Lonchura striata: one gene and its partner. The protein of the gene in region 1 interacts with the protein of each later gene in a biochemical or structural test. Links are inferred from orthologs where the notes say so. Each region holds a gene or a part of one and is shown on either strand. Other genes may lie near its edges.

Region 1 (11,267 bases):
TCCACAATGCCTGATGTGATTAGAGCTTCTCATCTTACAATAAAGAAAATACAAGACCAGAATTAAGTCATAGGGGAATACTGAAATTTTAAGGGCAAGAAAAGTTCTTACGTTAATAAAATATTTATTTTCCAGTTTTGCACTTAACAGTTACATGGAGTCAATGCTACATAAGGGATAGGGACAAGAGTGAGTCTGAGTAATTTGGTTTGACTTTCCACAGTAAAAAGTGATGGAAATGAATGCCTCAGCTGTTGTGAAGCTAACTTGATTTCCCAATAAACTCTTAGTGATACATGGAAATACACTTCACTATTTATATTTCAGCATAATATTCAACATAATTCCGTGTAGGAAGACACAGTTCACATGGATAGATGTAAAAAAGCAGCATATGAAGAACTAGTGGAAAAAGGAAAAGTTGTTTGAAGGAGAGAATACTATAAACTCAGAAAAGCACCTGATTAAGTATTTAAAGATGTATTGAAACTGAATGGGGACAGCTCTTGATTTGCTGTCTAAAAGCTTAATGTGTCCTTCTGCAGTCCGATCGCAGCCTTCTTGGAGTCGTTTGGTTTGAATGAAAACCCCCAGCCTGCAAGCAGAGACTGTTTCAGACAGGAACACATCTTACTGCTGAGCCCAAGAGACTTAAGTAGCAGCATACAACATCCATCATGCTGGTGCAAACAGCCAAGTGTGCATGTGCAGGGAGAAGATTTCTATTTGTCAGAAGGGTCCATGGATCTAACACTCCAGTTGCTCCCTCTGGACCATTATTTTCTAAGTGTGGTTCAACCTTGTGTTTGAGAGGTCCTCTTTAAAACTAGAGGAAAATTTACACTTGTCCTCTATTAAAAAGGATGCTACTTGGGCCCAGTAGAAACTAAATGACACTATCCCATGCATTTGCTCCAAAGGTCTTCATCACAGACAAACTGATACGAAGTATTGACAATATGAAGGATCCATATCAGAAGCCTAACATTGAGTGACCCAGATACCACTCTGAGTCATTTGGTCCTTACATATGGGCTCCCTGAAGTTACCAACAGGAGCTTTTTACTTTTTACTGCCAGCAACCACATCTACCCTGTTAATCTGTCTTTTTATAGGATGAGAGTTTCACCAGATCTCAGACCTGCTTTACCTAATCGTTAATTTAAATCATGAAAAAAAAATCCTCTTCAGCAATATTTCCCATGCAGGATTCTTCTTGTTCTGAGAGTCTCCCTTACAAACACTGAGGTGTCAGGAAAAAGGCCATTTTGTGGTGCTGGTCGCCACGGTATGGTTAGAGTCACCAACAGTAACAATTGCATATCTATTCCTGACCTTGGCTCTTGTTGGGTGCACTATGAAACTGGCATTGCATTGCTTCTCAAGACACTGTTCAAAAGAGTATAGGGAACCCGAAAGCATACAGGTAGTGAAAGTCACCTGCTTTCCAAACACAAGAGTTTCTCTCTTCCTCTGTCCACTGGCCATAAGAAAACAGGGCTCATCATCCCTAGTTAGACTCCTGAAGTAGACAATTTTGAGTATCTGCTAATGTTTGGGTTACAATTTGCAGTAATCCCATATCAGTCCATAGCACTTTCCAGCATTTTTATATCCAATAATTGTTTGCATTTCTCCAGAGCCTCATTCATAGCACATGAGTATGACCTGAGCTCTGCAATGCATTTGTTATGCAGCCAAGTACATGATATGGTTCAGGGGCTTGGCCAGGTCCCAGCACTTGTTTAAAATCACAGAAGTAGAATAGGTGGCTCAGTACAGCCACCAAGAATAGTTATCTGGGGGTCTTTCTCTGAAAATAGCTGAGCAACATCCCACTCTTTTGCATACATGAATCTTGACATTTTTCCTAACAACTTTAAAAAATTCCCTAAAAACAGATTTTTGAAACAAAGTAAACAGTCTTGACAGTGTAAAGAAGGAATCTAATCTTTCCTTTATACTTAGATTTTTATTCTTTGGATTTGGACCTAAGCCTTAGACATTTCTGCTGAAATCATTTAAAAAGGACTTCAAGTCCTGAGAGCCACAGTTGCTAAGTACCTAAATGGGGGTACCTTAAGAGTCCAGATTTTCATTAAGGACAGAACAATTTCCCAGTAGGGATCAGGCCTCTTACATATCCACCTGAGAGAAGAGGTATCCAAGGAGTCCCAGTCACTCCTGGAAACTCTGGCACTGCTCTCCTGATGAGGCTCTCAACCCTGACAGAGAGCTTGACTCTCTTGCCCCTTCTGTCAGAAGGATCAAACAACAAAGTTGCCAGCTTCACAGTGACATGTTGAAGCTATTTTTAAAACCCTCTACTATGTGTCAAACAGACAGTAACAAACAGCCTTTTTGAAGGCTAAAGTAGAAGCCAGTTTCCAGTATATACAAACCAAAACCCAATGGATACTTTTGGCATTGTCTGTCGCATTCTTTGGAACCTCAACAGGGAGGACAGGAAAAGTCTGCAATAAAGCCAAAGACATCCTATCTGAAAAGAACTGAACTACATTGGACAAAATACTTTAAAGCCCTGCATGGAAGAAAAAAACACTTCAAACATTATTATGATCATATTTGGACAAAGAGTAAGTTTTATATCCATATTTGCAGAGCAAGTGATGCTGTTGCTTCTCACCAAGGCACCAGCATCAAGAGCTGTACTCATAGTAGGAGCATTATTAAAACCAGCAAACCAGAGTGCAAATGTTCTACCAAGTCAAACAGCAGACACAGCAAGATAAGAAAGAAATTGTGCCCATAATTCCAGTCCACAAGAAGAACACTGCTTTAGTTTCACAAGGAAATTGCCTAGTAGCAACAATATCAGTTCTGTTTTTTCTGTAGACAGAAAACAAAACACATTGCATTTTATTAGTGGTAATAAGAGAACAGATGATAGGAAAGGAAGATCCAATAATGCTTTTTCCTCTTTAACATTTGCCTAGACCTTGAGTTCAGCCCCTGTATGTCAGGATCCATCGCTGTACGGGCCACCAATTGTCAGCATTGGTGCTTGGCAGTAACCAATGGTAGATGGTAACTGACTGCCACTGTTAGTTTATTATCTTACTGTAAGACTTTCATACCTTCTCCCTGTGAGTTCTCATGGGCAGTTCTCACAACACTGGCTCCTTTTCCTTCCACACAGCTGCCTGACCCTTTCTCATCACAGCCAAGTGACTCCAACTCTCCCTCAACCAGCTGAGCCACTCTTTTATAACACCCATCCTTACTGGACACAGCTGTGACATATTAAAGGCAAGGCTGTTCCTACTCTTTGGTAATTAGTACAGCTGCAACTCATCAGGGGCAAGATTGCCTTCAGCACTGTCTCTATTCTCTCACAATCCATTCTCCCACACCTGTAGGGCAAAAAGCCAGTGAACCACTGCTACAGCAGGAAACAGAAAGTCAAAGATGTACTTGCAGGGGCTGTGACCAACAGGTTGCCAGCTCACACCAGCTTTTCTCAAAGAGAGTAACTGATTTATTTTTGGCTTTATGTCTAGTCAGAATCACCAATTTGAGTAACCCTTGCTGAAAAATACTGAAAATTTAGGTCTCAAATTCTTGTAAAATTTAAAATGCTAAACTATGAGCACTTATGTGTGAAAGAACTTAAAACACTACTGAGGATACACCACTAGAGCTCAGCTCTTTCAATATGGTTGAAAATTCAGCTAATTAATATTGAGAGCAATTTTAAAAATCTTGAAATGAAAGAGCACAATGAAGAGAAAAGTACAACTGGTGCACTTTAATCCAAATACTAGTTTAAAGAAACTATTCCATCACAATGAGCTGAATACCAGGCATACAGGCAAAGATAAGAGAGAACTATTGAGTCTAACTGAAGTTTCTTCTGTGGAAGAGACATTTTAAGATCAAAATCTCAAGCTCTGGTACAAAACAGTAATGTAATCTCTGGTTTAAAAGTATCATAAATAATTTCTAATCCTTGTGGCTACACCAAGAGATCATCAGTTATGATGTAGGTTCAATATAAGAGTTCAAAAATCAAGAGATAAAGAAAAAGAGCCAAAAGTACATATAAACCCTAGTCAATCAAGTGAGAAATACCACTGCTGACCTTGAAATTTATCTCAGCATTTTGAGACAAGTTTATAATCTGAGTCTTATTAGTGGGTGACCTTGGACCAAAATCATACTACAGTACTAAGCATCGCCTTAAACATAATAATACTCCAGCTAACTTTTTTGGTATAAAGACTTATGAATTCACAAATTTAGTTACTGGCACACAATAACTTCAGGCTTATCCATAAGAGTGGGCTTGCTTCTGTGTCACAGGAGGACATACAGACAGATTCAGAGTTGCAGAAGAAAGAAGTAAGTAAAGGATTCCATATCTGTAACTACCTGTGTTCAGGAAACATGCAAATATTTAGGATGGCTCTTTGAAAACCCATTAAATTGGTTGGCTGAGCCTGACTGCTTGAGGGCTCTTCAAAACCTCCTGATTATTTTCACTTTCAACCTCATGGTTCACTTACAACCCCCATGGAAACATGTATTTAAGATAACTATGCATAATACTGTAGAACTTCACAGGCTTTCGCAGAGCGACAAATAAGCCCTCATTTTGCCAAGTCACATTTTTCCCCTAAGAACATCATGCTGCAGTTTCTCTTGCTATTCAGTTAGGTTGCTTAAATAATCTCAGTCCTTATAGCACTGTATCATTCATATTTAAATTATTAGTCTACAGATAACTTGAGCCTTACATCCACAGTATCTCACAGATCCAGATGAAAGCAGTGCAAGTCTCACAGCATTTGCAAAAAGTAGATGGCTGCTTTTGGCTAAATTGTTGACTCCCTGGGACACATTGGAGTGTTTGAGAGCACTTGCAGAGCAGATCATTTCAATATGGAGACAGTGGACACATGAGAACTCAATCACACAGCTGCAGACCTTGGGCTTTGGAAGAGGCTATGGATGTGGCAATGAAACAACTAGATAAGATACAGAACTCTGACTTTGTCCTTTAATGTTTGGGGACTTAAGGATGCCTGTAAGTGCTGGCTTTGGACATTCGAGCAGGTAGAAACTTTTGTCCTTCCATTTCTGTATCAATAGTATCCTCTGAGTATTCCATTCTCTACACAAAATTGCTCTATCAGCTCATTAATTATGTGCGTGTAAGAAAAACTTCCAAAGGAAAGGATGTAAGAAGGAATAGATTCCACATTTAGGTCTGAAACTGAGTATTTCACTGCAGAAGCAAGTATAGGTGCTATGCAGGCACATTAGACATCCCATTCTCTCTACCTCCAGAAAATTATTAATTAGCACATGCTAATTAAAGCCTGGGTTTATGCTCACTCTTAACTCTCACAGACATTAGAGCCATAACTGATCACCAGGCTTGCTAGGAAATCATCTTTTTGGCTCACCTTCTTACCAGGTTTTCACTTTCCTTTCCAGATGCTGCCATAGGAGTTTATGAACATGAAAAGAAACCACCTCTCCCTGCAAACAAGGCAGCTGATACCTGGGTGGAGCCACACTTTTGTACTTCACCTGCAGTGAGAGGTGACACAGGAAGCAGAGCATGGGTATAGATAGCAGGTTCCCTCTTCTCTACACAAGGTGGATCACAGCTCTTTCTACTGAATCTACTAGGTAGAACCAGAACGAGGGTGTGGGAAAACCGATACACTTCCTGAACAGCTTTGGAAAGCCCCATGCTTGACCACAGTTCCAAAGAAACACTCTGTGATCTCCACACATCCTCCTGTCTCCTACAGGCTTTGTTCCTGTGCTGTCCATGCAGTTTCTTTACTCTTCAAATTATTCCTATTTTCCTTCATCTTCTTAGATACAACTCACCATACTGAGTTAAGGCACTATGTCAATTCTCTGGCACACATCCTCCTTCACTTAGCCTTCCTCAGTCTCTCACCTCACCTCTATTCAAAAACCCTTAAACTAGACCTAGCTACTCTAAGCCAATCCCTGGGCTTACCTCCCCTCATGCAAAGATCAAATCATAGGGATGAGCTGGACTCAAACCATTCTAGCATAGGCTCAAGGCCTTTCTCAAAGTTCAGAGCTCTTGCCTATGAGTCCCTCAAAGCCAAGTATCTACTCTGCAAAATAAAATTTGTGCTGCCACGTGGGGGAGCTTGTGCTGTGGCTGATGCTCATCGCTTCCAGATCAAGAGAAAAGGACAGCTCAGCAGCCTTAAGGACTGCAGCCACTGCAAACTCTGTTCTGGAGAGGCTGTTTGAAAAACCTGACACGTGTAGATAGTACACAGACACTTTAATAAAGACGTTCCTTTTCAAAATTATCTTGGGTGACAGTAATTGACTTTGCCATAGCTTGTAAACTGTAAGTTGTAAAAATTTGCAAATTCTAGTTGCCCTTAACCTGGTAAAATAATAGAGTTTAGACTGGAAAATACCTGTAAGATCCTTGAGTTTATCCATTAACTAGCACTGTCAAATCCATCACTAAATCACGTCCCTAAGCACCATATCAACTAGATCATGATCAGAATGATAGATAAAATAAAATGAAAATTCCTATATTTTAAAGGGATAAGCAAAGCAAACAAGTAATAGGGCTCAGTTCCAGACCCCCACTGAGATGATTTATAAACACAACCACCAGACTGGAGTCAACTTTAGCCCTTGCTGAGCCATCTTCATCTGCAAAGCCGTCTTGACAGCTGAAGCAAACTCAGGTGAACCAGCAATCCAAAAGGCAAGGAATCATACTTACCAAATAGATGGACTTGAAGTCTTCTTGAAACCCCTTAAAATCACAACTGTGCCTCAGAGACAAAACCAGAGCTAAAACTCAGCTCTCGAGAAAATAAGCAGTCTGGTAGCCTGAGGAGATGAAAAATGACAGGGGCGGGTGGTTGGGTTTTTGGGTGGAGGTAGTTTTTTTTGTTTGCTTTTGGAGTTTTTTGTGTACGTGGAGTAGATTGTCTCGTTCTCTTTTCAAACCAAAGACATCGCTTGAAAGCTGTTTGTCGGTATGAAGAAGGCTGCTCACGTGGAAAGGGAAGACAGCTGGGGGCCACTCCAGCCGTGAGCTGCACCCCTGAACCACTGGGCAGGCTAGACCAAGCCCTCTCACGAAGCACGGCAGCGTCCCGGAGCCAGAACAGCGCGCTGCGGGGCGGCCGGGAGGGGCGGGCTCGGCGGCCGCGCCTCCCCCGGGCGGGGCGGGGCCGGGCGGTCCCGGGCCGGGCCGGGCGGGGCGGGGCCGGGCCGGGCGGGGCGGGGCCGGGCCGGGCGGGGCGGGGCCGGGCCGGGCGGTGCCGCTCCGTGCGAGGCGCGGGCCGGCGGGCGCAGCGGCGGCCCCGAGGCGGGAGGATGCGGGCGGCGCCCGGCGCGCAGCCGGACCGGCCCTTCAAGCTCAGGAAGAGTCTCGGTAGGGGCGCCGGGGGCGCGGAGGGCTGCGCGGGTCGCAGGGGCTGCGCGCACACGTAACGCTTCTCTTCTCTGCCCCGCAGCCACCCGGCGGGAAGAAGTAGCAGGGATCCGAGCCAAGTTCCCGACCAAAATCCCGGTAAATCTCTGGTTTGTTATCGGAGCTTGTTGCCGCTGTTTAAGGAAAGAAGCGTGTGAGGGGAGGGAAAAGGATATGGATATTTTAGGTTTTGCTAAGTGTGACTCTAATTAAAACAGGTAATTGTTGAGAGGTACCATAAAGAGAAATACCTTCCTCTCTTGGACAAAACCAAGTTTCTGGTTCCCGAGGAGCTGACCATGGCACAGTTCATAACCATCATCAGGTGGGTAGTGCATACTACTTGTTTGGATTTGCACCTGGACTTGGCTGCTGTTCCCAGGGAAGGTATTTCCTAGTGTGCTGCTGGGGACATCTTGCTTCCTTTGGTGGGTGGGAGGATAACACTAAAGGTGTTAGTAGTGTAATGGCTTCCTTCTCTTGCAAGTGTTTGAAGATAATAAACAGATGTTTTCATAGGTGCATTTGTGTGAAAAATGTGGTCTTTTTTGGGTTCATAGTCCCCTCCCTTCTCTGTAATTGTAGTGAAAAAAGACTATGTAAGACTCTTGTTCTGCTCTTTTCCTGCCTCATGGACTTGATACTGGGGCTCTGTGATCTTGTTCTGCTTATGACTCCCACTGCCTTGCTCTCTTAGTGCACCTAGCTGAATTAGCTTAAGTTCAAAGCAGCTCTTGAATGTGAGCAAAATGAAATGTTCTAAATTATTCTTTGTGAAACAAAGTCGCCCAAAATACTCAGTGGTATTTTCTGACAAAATGTGAAAGCTATGTTTTTCAGCATACTTTTTGAAGTATAGAAAAAGATCTTTCTAGATTGTAACTTCTGTAAAAGATGCTTTTGGCTCTTGGTCAACTTAGATTGTAATCCTTGCATGTAATGTCTCTGAAAAAGACTTGTTTTTTGAAGGTAGACTTTATAGTAAATGTAACAGACTGGAGCTGGACTCCTTTACAAAATCTGCACTATGGAAGCTTTTGGTTTCTTCTTTGGTTACTCACACTTTTTCCTGGTAACTGGGATCTCCAAGCTCATGCTCGGTAGCACCTTTGGTGTAGCCATGTAAGCCTTTCCTCAGAGCACAGGCCTTTGAGCTTCCAGTTAAGTTCCTGCTGATGGAAGAATGTAACAATAACTTTACACAGCATTTCTTGTACCTACTTCATGCAACTGCTCTGCTTAATGCATGTCATAGACTGAAGTTGAAATCATATTCAGCTTGCTAATGTTTAATCCTCTTTTTCTCCTCTCTTTTTCAATTAGAAGTAGGATGGCTCTTACAGCTACACAAGCTTTCTACCTGCTGGTGAACAACAAAAGCCTAGCCAGTATGTCCTTGACAATGGCAGAAGTGTACAGGGACTACAAAGATGAAGATGGCTTTGTGTATATGACCTATGCTTCCCAGGAGATGTTTGGATGCTTATTACCCACTGCCCAAGGGAAAACCATGGAATGCTTTCAGAAAATCTAAGATTGGGTTCATATGCTGCAGCAAAGCAGTTTGCTCTGAATCATGCCTGTGACATGAACCTCGGAGATACTCCTTCCAGTGTGAGCTCTTGAGCTCTGTAGTGGGAGTTATGATCCAAAAGCTGGCAGGACCAGCTTAAGACAGAAATGGTGGTACACTTTCCTTAGGTAATAATTTGGATATATATTTTTATATTTGAAGACACTATGGGTTAGGTTTTTTTCTTTTGAACTGCACCTCCACTGCTTTGCAATATCAGTCTTTGTTGTCAAACTGATTTTTAAGGTTTCCTGAAAGCCTAAGAGAAAAATAAAGAACCTTTTAAGTATTGAGTTGAATATTATTTTTAATCTGGGGAAAGACTCTAAAAATTTGTCTAGGAGAAGCTCCTATAATAATTTTGGGAATCAATGCTTTTTAAATGAAACACTGCTTGCACAGCTACTCTGAACTTTTGAACAAAGTATCAGTTTTAAGTTGTGTCACCCATGAGCAAAGCCATAGCATGAAAAGTTCATTAAGATAGGTATCTGGGCTGTGAGATTAAGTAGTAGTGCCAGAGCAGTGTAGAGTTTAACACCCAAATAAACTGTCAGCTGTTACAGAAAACACTCTCTGTGGTATAGATAACTATTTAAATAAGCAACCTGATTGCTAATTAGCATAACTGAAATGCAGATAGCAGGATTTGAATGGTAATAAAGTTTCAAGAGTTATTTTCTTGCTACTGAATTTTGCTAGCATGGTTACTCTAGATACTGTCATATCCATTCCCCTACAGGCATATCCTGAAGGACTTTGGTGAGCCTTCTCTCAAAAACAGAGACAAATCATGTACTTTGTGATTAAGAGATATTCCAGTGTTTCTGGAAAATGTTGAAAATATAAAAAAAAACATGTAGTAAAATGTTGATTCATCTTAATGTACAGGCTTGGTTCCTATAAACATGTATTAAAGGAACACTTGACATGAGCCTTATTCTGAAGTATAGCTCAAGCTGCCTTCCTTGTATGTGAGGAATGTATTAGAAAGCTGGAAATGCTCTGATCATGCATGATCAACTAAAAACACCAAGTAATTTAAATATCTGTCACAGTTTGCAGTTTGTTAATCAACCTCTGGCAGACTCAGTTTAGGGTTGGTCAAATTGTTACAATATGATGCAATTCTTCTGTTCAGCACTAAACTGCAGAATTATTAATGTAGGAATAACTAGACTGCAAAGAAAGAAGTGTTGACAGTATTTAAGTTATGCTTAAGGAAGGAATGTGTGTGTAAGCTTTTTGCAGTGGTTCTCTTGCATTAATAATCTCTTGAATATGAAGTTCTGAGCAGATCTGGGTTTGAGCCTCTAAACCAGGGGTTTTAGAGGAGTACCTGCTGTAGTGGAGGTGATGTTTGCCAACTCGTGTTTCATGAGCTGAGGAACAAAGAAATCATTGAACTGACCTGTGGAAAGGATAAGGCTGTGTTGGTATAGGTTATAAAAACATGCGAGCTTTGGGATGCCAGAATCAGTCCCTTGGATATATTTCACTTACCCTTGTAATGGAAACAGTTTCCACTGCAGAAATTGAAGTCCAATAGTCATTTGTCACCAGCCCTTCAGGGAAGCAGAGACACCTGCTTGGCAGGAGCACCATAAAGAAATGCTGAACAGCTGTGGGAACCTTGGGGTGGGAGGAGCAAGGGGAGACTTCCTGTGTTGAAGCTCTCTTGCCAGCCAGAGTTGGGCTAATATTTTGCTTCAATGGCTCCTCTGTCTTCCTGTCTTGTCTAATACTTGGTATATGAAGAGAGAAGCACTACAGTTTCTTGGCTGGAACAATTTTGTCTGACAGCCAACTTTCTTTGGTTTGTAATGCAGTGGCTGAGGTGTAAGTGTTGATCCCTCCAGCATTTATTAACATTAGGGTATGGTGTCTACAGGCGGAGTCACAGATCTAGCCCAAAAAGTTGCACAAGAAGAATGTCACTTGCAGGTAAAGAGCATCATTATAAACTTGTTTAAACTGGCCTGATGAACCTAGAAATAAGTCCTGTGAACTGGGAAAGGATCATTGGGTAATAGTAATAGACCTGCTTTTCTATCAGATGTTGAAGTTAGGATATTAACTATCAAAGACAGTTTTCACAAAATCTTAAAATAATAAACTAGGAGTTACATGCCCAAATAAATATGTTGTCTTGCTTGTGGAATTGCCTTGGTATGATTAGAAGATTTGAATTTAGCTTATTCTCTCTTGAAGTGCAAAAAACAAGGATTAGAA
Region 2 (11,303 bases), on another chromosome or scaffold:
AAGGCCCACAAAGGCAAGGAAACTTCCCTCCTTTGAATCTGAAAGAATGGGTCTTGTTAGCCTCTTGAAATCTTTATGCCCAAAAATTGTAAAAAAAAAAAAAATCCTTATCTTCTCTAAATATTTTGACCATGTATTATTAAAATTCTCATCTCAGAAGCTTAAGGAAGATAGGAGAAAATCCAGCCACCATGGTGGTGGAAGCCTTGGCCATAAGGCTGTGTGTACTCACACAGCTGAAGCTGCTTTCATGAAGTACTTGATTCATCAAGTAATGATGATTCAATCTTTCTTTTGTTATTGATACTAGTTTCCACCCTGGCTGCAGGCATGAAGGCTTGCTAGTTAAATGTTACTTATTTATTCTCCAGGGTGTGAGCACACCTCTTTGCACACTGGAGAGCAGATGGTTGCTCTCAGAAAGAGAAGGAATATTTTTGTGCAGAAGAAAATCCAGAGTAACCCTCAGTATTACCACAACAGTAATTGTTTCACAATCCATAATGATTTTATTAATGCCAATCTAGATCCCATGAGCACAATCAATGCAGCTGTAGTACAGGCTAGAATATCTTCTGTGGTCAACTGTAAATAGCAACTCTGTATCCATGGTTTATTTTTACCATAGTGTGCTATAATAGGAAAAATAGCAAATGGTAATTCTATATATAGCCTGTTACCAAGACTGTGAACAAAATGGTTAGTCAACAGTAAAAGCCTATCCTAATCAACAAATGGTTTTAGGTCCAGTAATAATATTTTGAATATCAAAATAATGTATACTAGGTAGTGAAAGGAATTGCAGCAGTGCAGCTAATATTTTATAGGCCTTTTATGACTCTTTTTAATGTTAAGTAGGAATTTTGTGAATCATGTTGATTTTAACAGACTGGAAATGGATAGCAGACTCTATATTGCTGTACTTATATATTGCCTGACTTTTTATCTTCTGCCTCTTTCTTTTGTTGGACCAGCAAAAATTCATTTTCCTTTTAGTGACATTAATTAACCATTAAATGGTGAATAGATCAGGAAAGGAGAGCCCCCTGTCTCTATGCCTTGTTCTTTATTCCTAAACTTACTTAAAAACCCACTATAGAAAAATATAAATTTTATTCCAGGCTTGAAAATATTATGTTCTTTTATATTTTATGTATAACTATTTTATGACTGACAAGGTTAGAAAAGTATATAACAAATTCTTAGATAAGTCTTCAAGGTTACTTCACATTAGACATGATAGGTAGGAAGAAAATACAGGCAGAAGTCAAGTTTCCTTATCTTCTGTATAAACAAGCTGGTATTTCATTCAAGGCCTTTTCCTTAACTTTCGGCATACCAGATCAGTATCAGGCAGTCACAGGGAGAGATATGCAAACATGCTGTTGTTGACTATTTATCTACTGAATTTATGAATTGGATTCCAAGGAAAGCAGGCTCCTGAATTCATTCCATCTTTGTGCTTGCCTGACATCCCCTACCTTTCTCCCCTTCACAATAATTTGTGACTTACCTTACTAGTCTTAAACATGTTTCATGGAAAGTTGGAGGTCTGTAATTATAGTAAATTCCTATTTTTACAAAACTCAAGGGTAGAGGAGGGAATGCCCTGCTTGTGGGGCAGTCTACTCCAGGGCAAAGGAAAAATAAGGGAAACTCTGTCCTTACCTGGGTTTGGGCCCATGCTGTGCACTGGCCTCCAGCATTCTCCTGTGAGCCAAACACCTTTTCCTGTGAGTGAATCTGCAGATGTGATGGAGACACAGCATCCTTAGGACTCTGTGGGCCAATGCCAGAGTGGGCCAAGGCATGGTGAGACACCAGTGATGTGGAGGGTTTTAGGGAGGATCAAGCTGGGAGCGTGCTTGGGGGTCTATATGGCTTTTGTTGGTTTTGGTGTGCCAAGCAGGTGAATGGAGCTACTGTGGGATGATAATTCCACATCAAGGGAAAGAGCATTGAAGACCCGGTCTGTGTGAAAGAAATGGGAGCTACCATGGTGAAAGGGTAGAAAGCAAGGAAAAAGAGCTGGCCTGTGAAAAGCAGCACAGACATGATGAAGGACTAGGGGCATTTTCTTTGGGGAGTGTTCATGACAAGTATCTCTTGGAAAACACACACTATTTATTAATTCTGCTGTTTTACAGTAGCATCATGTATTCATTACAATGTACTTTGTTTAAATGAGCCTGATCTAATACCTTCTGAAGTAAATGCTGCTTTTATTTGCTATCAAAGGGATGAGATAAAGTCCCTGCTATAACATAGGTAATTTATTTGCATGATGTTTATGAATGACTTTGAAGTACATATTTGTAATTTAAATCCCAACATTAGTAATACCTGTTGAAAATGCAGACATGAGCTTCTCAAGTAATTTTTATTCTTCTTAGTTTTATTACAAACTATATACACTGAGACAGGACTGATATCTTAGGACTTTTTAGTTCATATTTTTAGGGGCTTAAGAACTTCCTTTGTGTATGTTTCTACAGCACCTAATAGTTGTCCATACATCATGATTTCTGATTTCATTGTAGTATAAGTAATTATAATATATATTATTTTATCTGTTTACAAAACTGTATTATAAAATAATTATAGTACTCAAAAATTAAGTATGGTCTTCATCCATTCTTTGGCCTAAGGAATTGTATTTGATGTTGATGCCAATTCTGAAGAGAAGGGCGACCTAATTCAGGCAGGTAAATTTGTAAAATGGATAAAATACTTCAGAAGAAAAGAGTAGTTCAGTTAGTTTCCTCCTACATTTTTAGGATTGGGCTACATTAAGCCTTTTCTTACTCAGCTGGCTTCTTAGTGTTAGTCCTGCTGTTGGAAGAAATCATGGGAATACTCATGTAGAGTGTCTGCAACTTCCTCATCTCCATCTTGTCTAGACACCAGCAATCTCATAGTATATTCATGCCTCCAGAACATCTAGACTTCTCTTAACTGGGAACTCTGAATGAGGTAGGAGAACAGAGGGAATCTGTTTTCCCTTTCAAAGTTCCTTCTTTGCCAGTGGCTAAGTACAGTATTGTAATGAATACCAAATCAGTGTTATATTTCACAGTATGGTTCTCAAATTCATGTCACAGGGGAAAGGTGAGATAGTGCTATTTATTCCAATGTCACTGACTAAAAATACTACTAGAAATTATAAGAGATTAATAAAGTGATATTGAAAAATACTGTGGTAAATATGTTATCCTACTGATGTTTTATTTTCAGTTTAAATGTACTTAGAAAGCTTTCTGGCAATTGTACAAGATACAACTTAAATTTCTGTGAGAGAGGCATGGAATTAGTCCATACTTTTTTTGGCACTGTCTGCCCCATTATGTAATAAAGCCAGGCTATCTAACTTCTCCTCTTTCAGACATCTTGAGTTTTTGACACCCTTTTCTTTCTTCAGTGGCATAGATGGAGGATAGTCTTTCTCCATCTTCCTCAGTTACTGAGGACTCAGGGTATTTTTTTGAAGTGGGGATGGTGGTATTAAATAATTTCAAATGAAATGAGAAAATTTCTAAATGTGCTAGTTTTTTGCTTGGAAAAAAATTTTTTGTTCTTGTCAATTGTTGTTTAAGGGAGAGGTAAAAGTGGTGGATTAGACTGTTTAGCCTAAGTTTTTCCAGAAAATGAAATATATGTGTGAATGGGGAGAGGGAGCACTTCTTGGCTCTGTTTCTTTGTATTGCTGTTGCAACTATAATATAGTACCTGTATTTTATTTCTAAGAATCCTTTTCCATGCTTTAATGTGTAAGTCTGTGGCACCTTTGGCTTGAGATGTGGCAGCAAAACTCGCCTCCTCTGAAATAACCTGGAAAAAATACTGTCTTAAATATTTGTGTTAAAGGATGTGGAGACAACCTCTGCATTCCAGAAGTATTAAAGCCAAAGAGGGATTCATTAGGTGAAATTGGTGAATTGTAAATAATAATTGGTCAGTGGCTATAGCCAAATATCCTGTAGAACAAAGCTGGACACTGGCCACGTGGCATTTGCTATCTGCCTGACCTCACTGGAAAATGAGACATGTGGAATTCCTCCTCACCACTTTCTGAGGCACTTATACCATACTCCATCTCAGGCATCTGCTGGCTCCTTTTCTTAAGTGGTTTTTTTTTTTTTTTTTTTTTTTTTTTTTTTTTTTTGGCATATCCTACAAACTGCTGTTTATGCTATGGACACATCTGGCAGTTCTGCTGGTGAGACACTGTGGCTTGTGGGATGATGCTTGGAAGAGCTGTGCATTAATCTGTTGTGCAAAAGAAGATGTTCTATTGCAGTTTTTCCATGACTCAGAAAAACAAAGAAACCTAAAAGGTCATATGGTGGTGTGTGATTTGTTTTGTGGGTTCATTCAATATTGCCATTGTGCATTTGGCCCAACTACAATGAGTCAACAGGGTTGGACTGACTCAAAGTAGAGAACTTGCACAACAGTAGGACTTCATTCTAAATTCCCTTGCTAGTTCACATCAAAGAGATGAAATTACGTATGGAGTGCAGATATTTTTATGAAGTGGGAGTGTAATACCTGCACATCTAAAATCAGTTTGAAGTGAAACGTGGGCATCTCAGTGTTTTTATGCAACTTGCCTAGGTGTTTTACTACCTTGAACTTCCATTAGTTAGGCAAATAAACCTACTGTCAGGAAAGTATATAGAATTTGGCTTGAGCAAGTCAGCTTTGCTTGTATTGACTTGGTTACATCTACTTGGATCCATCTGATTCAAGCACGTAAGTCGAAGTTGTAAGGTGGTGAAATTGCAGCTGTCACATGGTGCTCTGGAGCCTGAAACCTGCTGCTTGAGTAATTAATTACGTGACAGCTTCCCTGCTTCGCAGGCTACCCTGTGTGCTTTGGCACCACAGAGCCAAGGGCCAAGCGCCGGCCCTTTTCCCCTCAGGAGCTTGCCCGTGCCACCCGGGGTGGCAGCGGGGAGCGGCTCGGCCGCCGCGCCGGACCCGGGGCTTCCCCTCAGCGCTGCTCCGGCCGCCCGCCCAGGCGGGGGCTGCCCGCGGCGCCGCCGCCTCGCCCGGCGCACGCAGGCGGTGGAACGCCCGGCCGCCCGGCAGCGCTGCCCGAGGCCACGGGGCGGCCGCGGGGGAAGGGCCGCCCTTGGGCGGCGGAGCTGCCTGGGGCTGCCCTGCCCGGCGGCGCAGCGCAGAGCCGGGGACGGAGCGCGGGAGCGGAACGGCGCCGCGGGGGTGCCGGTTCGCACAGCCCGGCTCGCGGGGACGCCCCGCGGGCGGACTACACCTCCCGGCGTGCCCCGCGGGCCGTAGCCGCGCGGGGCATGCCGGGAGCTCGGCAGCGCCGCGGCGTCCATGATCTTCCCCTCCCGCCGGCGCGGCAGCGCCCGCTTGCCTCGCGGGGGGCGGGGCTTTCTCGCAGCCGCCGCTCTGAGCGACGTCCACGCCACCCTATCAGCGCCGGTGTGGCGCGGCTGTAGCCAATGAGCGGCGCGGGGGGGCGGCTCCCCGCCGCGGCCGGAGGTAGCGGTAGTGGCGGCAGCCGGAGCGCGGCCGTGGGAGGTTGAGGGCTCTGTGGCGGGGTTGTGAGATCGCTCCGGAGCTCTGCGGGGCCGCTCCGGCCCGGGCGCTCGGTCTTCGGCCCTGCGGGGCCGCGGCGGGGACGGCATGGAGCAGGCAGCGCCCAAGAGGTAAGGACCCTCCCCGGCGGCCCCTTCCCCGGCCAGGAGCGGTGGCACGGCCGGGGTGAGGCCTCGGGCCCGGGGTCTGTGAGGGGGCAGTGGGACAGGCACGGCACCGAGCCCTGCGCCCTGCCCGGCGGCCGGAGGGCTCTCTCGCGTGGGGAGGGCTCTTCTGTACGGTGGATCCTCCGAAATACAGCCTCCAGTGGAAATACAGCCCCGGCGGAGACGAGCCCCTGGGGGCTGCTGGAGTTAACAACATTTTTAACGTGAAGTGAGGGAAGCTTGGTCGCCGAGCAGAGTCCTCTCTGCCCTGAGGGTCTCTCACTCGATGGTTCAGGTCTGTGGCAGGAGCACACATGAGTAGTTCTCTTTTCACGCTGGAAAGTGTCCTTGTGCTCTGCTGCTGGAGGGATGGATGCTTGTGGGGGTGGGCGTTGCATAGTTGCAATTGCAAATCGGGGAGTGGGAAGAGGTAAAAGCCAGGAATATTCCCACAGTAGATGTATTTTCTCAAATATATAGACTGGCAGGTCATATTAATTACTGTGCACGTTTTTAAAAATAATGTATCACTTGACTTCTTAGTGCATAAAATAACTTTGTGTTAAATTTTAGTCATATATTTCAGTTGGAAGAAGATATAGTTGTACAATACACAGACCATAGTTGTGTGGTGTACAGAATGTAGTTACATGGTTTACGTATATATATACACTGCCTTTGAGCTCTGATTTTACTTTTGCTTCCTGATAATAAAAAATCTAGGGACTACGCAATATAAATTTGTGATAAAGGATATTAGATACGTTTTTGCATTAATCTTTAAAACCTATATGTTCCCCATTTAGAAAAAACATCTTTAAAAACAACTTCCTGTAGGGTGATAAGACTTGAGAAGAATGTAGTCTTAAACATCTGATGACTTCTCCAATAACTCATAAAGTGACAGTACCTACTGTGGAAAATTTTGAAAAAGAATTGGTTTGTAGTTGCTATCTAGGGTGGTTTTAGCAGGCAGTGGGGTAAGAAGGGACAGACCTATGCTGTACTTTCAGGCTGACAGTTCTGCATATCTCAAATGAAGGAAGTAGGACAAGCACCAGCACAAATTTAGGAAAAGAAATGGAAAAGTCTGGGGAGTAATCAATGTTGCTAGTAGCAGTGGAAACGTTGGGAACTGGTGGTGTAACAGGACTGAAAATCAAACTCAGAAGTTAGCATAACCTCCCAAATGTTTTGGGGAAGATGTGGCATTTGCTGTAACTTTATTACCTAGCTGGAGGTGTGTGTCTGGCCTAACTGAAACAAAGAGATATTTAGGTCTTTGGATTTGGTCAGAAATAACTAGATGTGGGAATATCTAAACTCTGGCATGTTTTTATATTCCACATGGGTTTTGAAGCTTATTTCTGGAAATTTGTGATTTGTTTCTTTAGTGGGAGGGAAAATTTGAACTCAGCAAGATATTAACTGAGGTTATTTCTTAAGATTTCAAGCAAATTTTTCATGGCTGTGCATAATATTTCCTTTATTGGTAGTTTTGTACAGTTTCCCAGTTGTTGGTATTCTCAACTATTCTAGGCCACCCCCTTTTTCTGCAAGTGCAGAAGAAATGCAGATTATTTTTTGTGGGCTAAGTTTTTGGTGCTGTCCTTGGATGCAGTAGTGGCATGAAATGGACTGTGTTTACTTGGCAAAACAGATGTGAACACTAGAATTCTTTACTTTGGTGCCTGTTCACAGGAGCAGTTACTGAGAGGGATCTATTGTCATCATATCTGTGATGCATTTCCATTTACAGTTAGTAGGAATTTCATATGTACAATAAAAAGCTGCATGGATGTCCTAGAATCCCAGTGTTACCTCATAGGTATAGGGCAGTTTTATCTGCACTTCCTTGTAGTGAAGCACACAAGGCAATTGCCTGTTGTATAAATCTGTAATACAGCCCTTCAGAAAGCAGCAGTGGTGATGCCCAAGTGACATTCTAAGCCATTGTGACTTTTCAATGGAGGTGCTATCAAAATAATTCACTTTTTTCATTTGACTAATGCACTGCAGCACTAACACCAGACTTTAAAGGGAGACTCCTTTTCAGAATATTTTAAATTTTAGAAATAATTTAGAGTAGATTTTCTGATTTTATGCTGAACAATTAGTGCAGTAGTTGACACAGTGTTTTCTTGCATCTTGAATCTTTAATTGTACTTTAGATGTGCTTTATAGATTTTTCTCTCACTAGGAAGGAGATTTACTCTTGAAATAGTTACAAAATTTGCCTCTTAGTGGTGTGATTTTCCTTGGTTGTTATTGCTTTGTTTTTCTGTATCCCTGGCAAGCTCGCATGTGAGGATACAGGTTGCATACAAGGGAAAACCAAAGTAGTTATTGACAGAATTTTCTCAAGTACATAGGTTTTAATCTTGCCTATCTCCTGCATGTTGCTGTCAAATAAAAGTCTGCTTAACAAGCATGGGAAGTGTTAATGAAGATTTTCCAGTCCTTTCTTTAAACTTGAGTTTAATGTTCACTGAAAAACACAACATTTCAGGCTTTGTGGAAAAAGGAAGCTTTTCCTTTTCATGTTCTAATAAAAACTTGTTATTAGAATACAAATTGTTTGTGAAAAAGTGTGTTTTTGTTTTTTAAAGTGTGTGTCAGTGGACATGTTGGCAATTGTCAAGTTCCTCCTGAAAATGATGAAACAAAAATGTTTGGGCTTTGCTGGCAGGATGCTCAATGGAAGTACACAGCACAGTGGTGTAAACTGTCTTAATCTTGCTTCTACTTGTGTGAGTGCTGTGAAGCAGAACAAATGTCCCAAGGCTTCCACCTGCCACTTCTACTTCAGATGACTGCAGTGATTGCTCCTACTACCTTCTCTTTTAATATATCAGTATAATTGATCCCAGCCATTCTTTTTAAATGTTTCAATGTGCTAGTTCTTCTGCACAATAAACTGTATATATTCATGTTTCTTGGAGCGGCTGTCCAGTTTTTTGTAACTCATGACAGTCATTGATGGCTTTCTATTCTTTATTCCAGCTTTAGTTTGATTTTTGAACTTTCAAGGATTTTTTATCCCTACCGCTGTAGCACATCACCAATTTATTTTGTGAAATCTATATATAAAGACTGTAGGGTACTATTGTCATGTTTTTTTTTTCCTTTCATTTTTTAGGGAGGAAATCTCTTGCTCTTTCGTGTTGCAGTTCAAATTTTTCTGATCTTTATGCTGTTATTGAGTGCCTACTAGGTTTTCCTTTTCTAGAGTTTTTCTGATGTACTCAATGGCATCTAAGATTCTGGTCAGACTAGGAATTAATGTTTTCTCGTATGAACTGGATTTATAAAAGTATAATTATTTGCTAGGATGTGTTTTCCTTGTTAAGAGACAAGGTGTTATGTGAAAGTTAAACCTTGGAACAAGAAAATAGTTTTCACAGGCCTTTCCCAGAAGTGTAATTTAGTTAATCCTTCTGGTTTAAGGACCAGCTTCCCTTCTAGAAGACCTCTAAAATAGCTCATAATCACTACCCGATAACTTAGATTCTAGAGAAAAAAGTAACTCAGAACAACTTTGTCCAGGTTTTATACTGAACTTCTCTGCATCTCCTTTGGACTTTCTCATATATGGAGATATATATACATACATACACAGACGTATGGGACTTGCATGCTTTGGCCAGAGTAAAGCAGTGCCTGGATGTGCTGATTTATTTGTTCTGTTTTAAATGCTTGTGTTATGAAGGTAGGGAATCAGTGAGGGAGAGAGTGAGACACATTCTGTCTTTCTCTCCTATTGCTCTTGTGCCATTTATCTCTTCATTTTTGCCTCCTGCCCCCTCTTCACTTTGCCCCCTTCCCTCTGCCAGTAAAAGCTGATGCTGAACTCTTAGATGTGTTTCTCTGCCCTAAGATTGTTGCTTTTAAGCAACAAGGTACTATTTCTAGTCTCTTCTTGTATTCTGCTTGGTGCTTTGCAGCCAGTTACACCAGTCGCCACCTTCTTCCTTGTTTCTCCTGGAGTTTATAGCAATGCTGTCTTCACTGCAGCCCTTCAGGGTATATCACCTGATGTTCTGCAGTTCAAGAGCTGAATATTTAAACATCCAGAAACAGAAATCATTAGAATGTCTGAGTCATTAGGATTTTTTGTTGATTCAAAGACCTGTGGTGTTGATACTATCACTTGAACATCTTACCCAGCATCTGTACTGTTACAGTGCTTGTGACGAGCGGGGGAGGTGCTTTGAGCACAGTATTTGGTGATGACATTCCTGAGGCCATGTACCTTTCTCACTGGAAATAGGTTTTGTATTAAGCTACCTTAATGTTAAGTGTGATTTGGTCTTGTAACATGTTTGTCCGACTTGAATAATATGAACATAATTTGAATTTTTTTTTCTGTTTTTCTCCATGTTGATAAGTTGCTTTCCCTTTGCTGTGAAGAGTTTTATTTTCCCTAAAGACACAGACTTTCCAGCTTCTTGGCTGTTTGCTGTAGCAAACTGCATGGTCTTTATTGTAGTTAATGCACCTTTCCTTACTGATTGTGGATGCTTTTTGTATTAATGTAATTGCTACATCTGTGAAATTGTTTTTTGGTGTATAATGTGTGCACCCTTGTGCCTTCTCCTTGCCTTGTGTCCCTTGTTTAACACCAATCCATATGACTTGTGTGCTTTTACAGTTACTTTAAATTCTTTGCTTTTACTTAGATGGTTGGCAATTATAAATCTATTTTGACTCATGAGTTCCCTCACTGGTCAGTGTGGTGGTTTCAGTTCAAAACTGGGCAGAAACACTAATTTCGTGCAGAGGTTTTGGTTTGCTAATTTAAGTTTTTTTTTAATTTTGAGATTTTTTTTGGCTAATGCACTACAGAATACGGGGGGTTTGGTGCTGGCTAATCACTAATACACTCACTTTCTGCTGTGAGATAGGATTAGGAGAAAGGCAAAGAAGGCTTAAAACTTTAAAAGGGTACAAAAGAGAATTTTATTAAAGGTAATTAGAAGGACAAAAAAGGTAGTAAGGTTGTCATCTTTAACATGTGTGTTTCACAAAAGTGTTTAGTTTTCCAGTAGTTTAAAAGATTGTTAGTTACATAAAAAACTTTACATCACTTCTCTTAATTCACTCTCATTCTAAACTATAACACTCAGTCACTTTAGTTTTTATTGATTTTGTGTATCACAGAATTGCATCTCCTAATATGAAGGTTTTTTTTTCTTCAGATCGCTGTTCTTACACTATTAAGATTCGTCAATCTTTTTTGTCCATGCCCTCCTTTCTTCCCCTATTTATTTCTAGAAAGTGTTGTGGGATAACTTACCTTCTGTAAGTTCTCCATGATCTGCTGTTCTTCAAAGTTTCCTTTTTTTATTTCCCTTTCCTCCTCCTGCATCTGGAATACATTGACTCTATTTAACATTACAGCACCAGCTTTTCTTCAGCTCATCTTCTACTTTATTAGTACCCTTGGCTGTCATGTAGAGTCACCTTGTTACTTCAGTCTTGCAGCAGAATTCCCTATAACTTTACGGTGAAGGATTTACGTCTTGCAGCCACTGGTCCCTGCTGCAATGTGTGTGGTTATATTTTCCTGTGCTGTGTTCACTGTTAGCT

The links.
Region 2: the proteins of MAP1LC3C (region 1) and STK3 form a complex in vitro, tested with the Homo sapiens proteins (2 studies listed by BioGRID and IntAct). The link is inferred for Lonchura striata from reciprocal best matches to the Homo sapiens genes MAP1LC3C and STK3.

The regions. Positions count from the first base shown.
Region 1 is NC_134605.1:47,768,448-47,779,714, reverse strand, and holds MAP1LC3C (microtubule-associated protein 1 light chain 3 gamma), read left to right. Parts: upstream 1-7,365; coding exon 7,366-7,423; intron 7,424-7,505; coding exon 7,506-7,561; intron 7,562-7,680; coding exon 7,681-7,787; intron 7,788-8,785; coding exon 8,786-8,996; 3' UTR 8,997-9,322; downstream 9,323-11,267.
Region 2 is NC_134603.1:22,422,719-22,434,021, forward strand, and holds the start of STK3 (serine/threonine-protein kinase 3), read left to right. Parts: upstream 1-5,502; 5' UTR 5,503-5,655; coding exon 5,656-5,678; intron 5,679-11,303. UniProt on the Homo sapiens protein: Stress-activated, pro-apoptotic kinase which, following caspase-cleavage, enters the nucleus and induces chromatin condensation followed by internucleosomal DNA fragmentation.